Oryctolagus cuniculus: one gene and its partner. The protein of the gene in region 1 purifies or fractionates together with the protein of each later gene. This does not show direct contact. Links are inferred from orthologs where the notes say so. Each region holds a gene or a part of one and is shown on either strand. Other genes may lie near its edges.

What was found. The genes of interacting proteins can lie anywhere in the genome.
Region 2: the proteins of CDK13 (region 1) and CCNK purify together in Homo sapiens (affinity purification with mass spectrometry; 4 studies listed by BioGRID and IntAct, counting the BioPlex papers as one, with this or other methods). This does not show direct contact. The link is inferred for Oryctolagus cuniculus from reciprocal best matches to the Homo sapiens genes CDK13 and CCNK.

What each region holds. Positions count from the first base shown.
Region 1 is NC_091447.1:29,927,641-29,931,287, reverse strand, and holds part of CDK13 (cyclin-dependent kinase 13), read right to left. Parts: intron 1,740-3,647; coding exon 1,569-1,739; intron 307-1,568; coding exon 167-306; intron 1-166. UniProt on the Homo sapiens protein: Cyclin-dependent kinase which displays CTD kinase activity and is required for RNA splicing.
Region 2 is NC_091451.1:43,357,895-43,361,541, reverse strand, and holds part of CCNK (cyclin-K), read right to left. Parts: intron 2,428-3,647; coding exon 2,322-2,427; intron 1,256-2,321; coding exon 1,198-1,255; intron 427-1,197; coding exon 257-426; intron 1-256. UniProt on the Homo sapiens protein: Regulatory subunit of cyclin-dependent kinases that mediates activation of target kinases.

The DNA of each region.
Region 1 (3,647 bases):
CCTGTATCTTACACAAGTGCGTGTGTAAAGCTAAAAACAAGATGAAACAAAAGCCCAATAAATTTGAACCAAATATTTTATAATTCCTAAAGCTATAGATTAGGAAAAAAGCACAAATTAAGTACATTTCACAAGCCCAAAGATCCCCAGAACTTGGCGTTCTTACCAGTGTCTTTATCCCTGGCCTTGTAAACTTGTCCATAAGTACCTTCTCCAATAATTCCGATGATATCAAATTTATCCACGCAGCGTTTTCCCCAGTCAATATCTTTTTCTTTGATTTCACCATATCGAGGCCCACAAATTCTATCAAATATAGTTCTGAAGTTTTTATATACAATCAAGCAAACTTTTAAATGTTTAATTACTCAGTATCCACCCTCCACCCAATCTTGCATCATTTATTTTCTGCTAATCTTGCATATTTGTGATCACGTATCCAAGGCCAGTAACAATGTGTTTTGGTATTGTAATTTATCATAAAAGTCATGATATCATTTCAACATACTGACTCTTCTTCTGTAGACTATTACTTTAACTGGGAAGAGAAATCATGGAATTTGAATAAAGGGTTTTCAGAAATAAAATGCAATTTTCCAATGAGTGGATGAAACCAACACTAGCAGAAAAAAGTTCTCTAATTAACATCTACTTAAACAAAATTCAATAATAAACATTAACAAAAATCTATTAAACTTATCAACAAATTAAACTTATGGCTGGACGAAATATTTTTAAAAAGTGATTTCAAAAATTTCAAAAAAATAAATGATATAATCAACTCCCAGAAATCCACTCTTAATAAGATTTAGATACAACAAAATTTCATTCTCCAAAATATTAAATTTTGCTGCATTTTAATATTCTAGTAGATCATAGAACTTCCAAATAATAATACCTCAGTACACTCAAAGAGGTAAAACTTTTGTAGCTTTCTACTCCATACTAGAACATGACTTCTTACCCTTATTCTAAGCACTACTAGCTGAACAGCACTTCTAAAATCACTTTCCCTTGGTTAAGTTGAAGTAAAAAAAAAAAAAAAAAAAGCATCGATGTATAGTCTCTTTAACTGATGAACAAGTTTCAAAGGAAAGAATTCTCTCTAGACACTTACTTGAAGCTAACTAAAAACACAGATTTCAAATGTTTTCCACTGTATCTTTTGCAAAAGTATTTTGCAAAAATAAAGAATGCATTTAGAGGGGAAAATGCAGCTAAACATAACAGCTTGCCCATTTCTCATTTGGACTCACTGAATGCTTATTCTACCCTGCCAATTTCAGTGTGTCAGTGTCACTCAGGTATCTTAATTACAGAAATTATCTTGAATACATATAATATCCCAAGAAATTAATACATTGCAAACTGTGAGAGAATATTGAATCTTGTTTTATTTGTAATAGTAAATAGGTATGCAAGCACTTATGAAAAAACTTATTCATATACTTAAATTGGAAGAATGAATACACTTTTTTATTTAAGCTTAAAGTTTGTGTTTTATAAATTTATGATGATCCAGAATCATTTCTAGTCAATTTATGAGCAGGTAGAAAGTAAGCACATACTTAGGTCTCCTTTTACTATGTAACTGTGTTGCTGTTTTCTTTTCTTCTGGACTCTTTGAGAGATCATCTCCTCCCGGCAGCTCAGGAGGCAGTGGTAAGTCAGCAAGTAAACATCGGAGTTTCTTTTCTACTTCTTTTTTAACAGCTTTTACTGAAATATTTCCTCGTAAGCTAAAAAAGAAAGTCAAATAAGTAAAACATAAAAATGTAGTTGAGCAATAAAAATGTAGCCCTGTGAGGTAGTGTGCAATGGCTGTGCATTTCTTGTGCCATTTCACACTGCAAGACACTAATCAAAGCTAAGTTTCCTTACCTTCCAGATGAAATAGTACACTACATACAACTGTAAAACATAAAACTTAAGGATAATAGTGATATAGAATTAGTTTTTTCCTAAGGACATCTGTGCAGTATGAATGTTAAAAATAACATATTGTGCAGCCGGCGCTGTGGCGCAGCGGGTTAACACCCTGGCCTGAAGCCTCGGCCTCCCATATGGGCACCAGTTCGAGACCCAGCTGCTTCACTTCTGATCCAGCTCTCTGCTATGGCCTGGGAAAGCAGTGGAGGATGGCCCAAGTCCTTGGGCCCCTGCACCCACATGGAAGACCTGGAAGAAGCTCCTGGGATCCTGGCTTTGGATCGGCACAGCTCCAAGCCGTTGCGGCCAACTGGGGAGTGAACCAGCAGATGGAAGACCTCTTTCTCTTTCTCTCTGCTTCTTCTTCTCTCTCTCTGTAACTCTGCCTTGCCAATATATAAATCTTAAAAAAAATATATTTATTGGCAAGGCAGAGTTAGAGAGAGAGAGAGAGAGAGAGAGGGAGGCAAGAGACAGAGAGAGAGGGATATTCCACATGCTGGTTCACTTCCCAAATGGTGGAGTTGGGCCAATCCAAAGGTAGGAAACAGGAGCTTCTTTTGGGTTTCAGGTTGGTGCAGGGGCCCAAGGACTCAGAACATCTTCCACTGCTTTCCCAGGTGCATTAGCAGAGAGACTGATGAGAAGTGGAGCAGCCAGGACTTGAACCCACACTCATATGGGATGCCAGTGTTGCAGGTGGCAGCTTAACCCACTAAGCCACAGTGCCAAATTAATCTTTTATTGTTAATACAGTCCCTAACAAAACCAAAGCAAGAGTTCATTAAATGCAACTTGACAAGCTGTTTATAAAATCTAAGAATATGGTAAAGGAACTTCCCAAAAATTTCTAAAAAGAATAATGAAGATGTATTTACCCTGTGAAATGGCCAACTTATTTAAAGAGATCCCAATGTCTGGATGAAGTCTATTCAATGTGTTACTCAGTCTAGCTAATGTTTTGCCAAAACCTAGAAATCAATGGTAAATATTTTTAAATCAGAAGACTTGCATAAATATTCAGATTCCAGGATTCTGTTTTAAAATAGCAAAAGTCCTACTGACATTGTGCACAGTCTTTTGCAGCAGCACTGAAGTTGAGGCTCAACAACAGGGCTGTTCACTAATGACTAATTTTCTCCATGCCTTTCACTTTCATATTACCTGCCTGTCTCTCTGGTAGAATTCTGAGTTTGAAAGCTAATACATTATGCAGCTAAAGACATTAAAACATTAAGGTACTGGCAAAAAAAAAAAAAAAAAAAAAAAGCCAAAACAAAGTACAGAAACACAGGTGTATCTTTCAGAATTTCTATATATGGCATTTCAAATTAGTGAGATGGATCATTCTATGGATGGTACTGGGAACAACACTGGGTGGAAGAGGAGTGGAGAACCAGACCACTCCTTCCTTCCTCACATGGTAACCAAGAAAAATCTCTGTAAGAAAACCTTTTGCATTAACCCTTTGTTTATAAACCTGAAAGTTTTAAAAGAAAAAGGTAAATTTGATTACAATAAAAATGGAAAACATCCCTATATAGAAACAAAACAAAGGCCAAAAAGCAACAGACTCTTGGGGCCTGCACTGTGGCACAGTGTGTTAGCCCCGTGGCCTGAAGAACCTACATCCCGTATGGGTATTGGTTCTAGTCCTGGCTGCTTCTCTTGCAATCCAGCTCTCTGCTATGGCCTGGGAAAGCAGTGGAACATGGCCC
Region 2 (3,647 bases), on another chromosome or scaffold:
CCTGGCTTTTGGTGTAGCCCAGCACTGGTCGTTGCGGACATTTGGGGAATGAACCAGTGGATGTAAGATCTCTCTCTGGCTCTCCTTCTCTCTCTCTGTAACTCTGCTTTTAAATACATTTTTAAGAAACAAGACAAAAACCTCCCCTTCCACTTTCACACGTTTAAAGGAAAACCCAGTCTTGGGAGCCGCGGTACACAGGAAGAATCCTCTAAGCATGAAGCACCCTGGAAAGAAAGCTGAAGCAGCTCAGTACCTTCCAGCACGTCCACGGGGACATCCTGAACAAACTGCTCCCACCATCTCCTATACATGGGCTTGGAAGTCCACTCCTGAATCTCAAACTTGCACAAGCGCCCTGCGAGATACATCACCGCGACCGCTATGATCTCCGGCTCCCACTGCAGCGACAAGGTGGTGCAGAGGCTGCGTGAACACAAGGACAAGTCTCTCAGATTCCACGAACCAACATTATGACGCAAATCCTGCGACGCAATGTCCTATACCTGCTGATTTGCTTATTCTTTCCACAGATGACTGAAGTATTATAAATTAAAGCAAGTCTTCAGCCTTCTAAAGGTACCAAAATAAGTTAAACAGTTATTAGTTTATTAATACACAGTAATTCTTGCACATTCAAAAATTATGACATCACATAATACAAATGACAATGCTTTATGTTCTTTAGATTGTTGAAATCCTTGACACTGAACCGTTTCTTCAAATTAATGCCTAGGGCAAGGTCAAACACATGTACAAAAAATACAAAAGCAGCTTTTCGGCCTAAGGGGCAGGGCCACCGCAACACTAAGACTGGAGGGCATTCTGACCCTCCGGCCCCCCACTTGGAAATGAGGGCCCTAGGAAGAACTCGGAGACTCCCGAACTATTACAAATAACAGTGTTTGCAGAACCGACTGGCCTATAAGTATGCAGTGCTCAGAATTCTCCAGTGTCTTGTATTGGACTTGGTTTCAAACTGGTGATGAGATTTCAGCATCTCACCACCGTGATGCTGGAGGCCACCTGCCTGGAAGCGATGGCCGCAACCTGAAGCCCAGCCTGGCCACTGGCCAGCTCTTCCAGCTGGGGCAAGGCAGGTTCCTCAATACAAAGCGAGGGGTTTAGATTTAATGACCCAAAACTCTCTGCTTATTTTGAAACACTGTAATTGAAACAATATTTGAATATGAGTACCTGTCATTTACAAATGTCCACGCCATTTGAACCAACTTCTGAATTTTGTTCTTATCACCTACAAATGGGGAAACAAGGTAAGTTAAGGGTAATATGGGGAAGGGGATAAGGCTTCACTAGAATCAATAAATATTGATTTAAAAACCTATGGTGTGGGGCCAGCCTGATGGCAGACGGCTTACAATGCCACATGTGATGTTGGCATCCTATATTGGAATGCCATTTCGAGTGACAGCTATTTTTTTTTTTTTTTTTGACAGGCAGAGTGGACAGTGAGAGAGAGAGACAGAGAGAAAGGTCTTCCTTTTTGCCGTTGGTTCATCCTTCAATGGCTGCCGCGGCCGGCACGCTGCGGCCGCCACGCTGATCTGAAGACAGGAGCCAGGTGCTTCTCCTGGTCTCCCATGCGAGTGCAGGGCCCAAGCACTTGGGCCATCCTCCACTGCACTCCCGGGCCATAGCAGAGAGCTGGCCTAGAAGGCGGGCAACTGGGACAGAATCCAGCGCCCCGACCGGGACTAGAACCCGGTGAGCCGGCGCCGCTAGGTGGAGGGTTAGCCTATTGAGCCACGGCGCTGGCTGCTACTCTACTTCTGATCTGGTTTCCTGCTAATGAACTTGGGATGGCAGAAGACAGCCTAAATACTTGGGCCCCTGGCACTCATGTGGAAAACCAGGATACAGTTCCTGGCTCCCGGCTTTAGCCTGCCTACACTTGGTTGTTGGGGCCATTTGGGGGAGTGAATCAGCAGATGTCTTTCTCTCTGTTGCTCTGCCTTTCAACTTAAAAAAAAAAAAAAAAAAAACCACAAAAGTGACCAATGCAGAATCACTGTTTATGGGGAACTGGGCTCCAAGGCTAATTTTATTAGTCTATTTAAAAAATTCTGACTCATTTTCCTGCCTCATGTCACTTGGCAACTGGATGACAGAACCTGTTTATGCATAAAAGGGGACAGAATTACCAGCTATCATACTGAACAGTTTGAGCAAGCTATATCCTGGGTACTTTACACATTGAACCCTCTGTTTGCCTTTTGAGAAGCATAATCTGTGTCTGAACAAATTCTAAAGAGTTGATTTCAGAATGAAAAATTCTTTTTTAAAAAACTTTTCTCCCTTACCTTTGAGCTGCTTTGCATATTTGAGTAGGAACTGGTATGGATGTTCTACCTGTAAGTCGAACTTTATGGTCTGCAGTAAGATTCTCTCCAGTACCATTACTTCTTCCTAAAAATAAGTAGCCAGGGTCGGGGTAACAGTTACAGTCACGGGTCACAAGCAACACTAAAAACATGAGCTCTTCTATTTATTCTCTCGTCCACTTATATTTTAGCAACTGTTTTCTGTTCCTTTTCTCCTCTCTCCCACTCAGGTTTTTAATTGCAGAGAGAAAATGATAAATTCTGAAAAGAACTCAAAATAGGAATCTGAAATAATCAGAGGTTTAATTCTAAAAAACAAAGCTTCTTAGAAATGTGATTACTTTCATTACATATGTGTCTTTCTTCACAAAACACTTTCACTTTTCGATATTCTAACTGAATTGCAGATTCTTTCAAGATTCCGATAAAAAATTCACTCCCTCAGGAATTTTCGCTGCAAACTTTCAACAAGGAAGAGATGATGATAGCCAACTGCAACGATGCAGCAGGTGTGTGTGTGAATGAGGCGCATGATTTCCGTGTCTAAATTCTTCATTTACCTGAAATAAGCTGTCCCAACATCATTTGCTGAATAAGTTATCATCCCCTTCTATTTGAAAGTCAACCTAAATCACACTCTAAACCATGCATGTATGCACACACACACACACACACACACACAGAACCTCAGCTGTGTGCTGACCTGTCTGCTTGGAAGGGATTGTTCCGTCACCTCCCCTCTTTTCAGAAAATTTATTTGCTTTTGTATGATCCCCATCCCACTACCTGAACTTTGGTATCATTTTACTAAATATTATCCTAAAGAAATAACTATTGACATTCCGATTAAGAACTTGCTGAATTCACAGAACAATCAGGAAAACAGAGACCTTAACTACATTTCATCTTCTTATCAAAAATTTATTAACACCTTTTCCATCCTTTAGGATAAGTCTTAAAGCCCCCTGCCAATTTTCCCAGGGATTATCTTCAGATATTTTACCATTGCTTTTATAAATGGAATCTCCTCTCGGGTCACACTCTAACCAGTTAATGTTTCTTAATGGGTACTTCTTGCCTTCCACTGTGTATTGTCTGCACCTAGCACTTAAAGACAATGCACAACACAATCGAGACACTCACTGGGAGTACAAGCAGCAGTGCCTGCTTGCCATCAGAGAAGAAAGGGCTCTGCAGAGCACCCACAGTCTCTTCACTAACAGCTGCACAAACCCAGCAACCCAGGAGGCGACATCCAGGCGGCAGGCCTGTCGTTTTGAAGTACGGCACAGAACAGAGCTGATT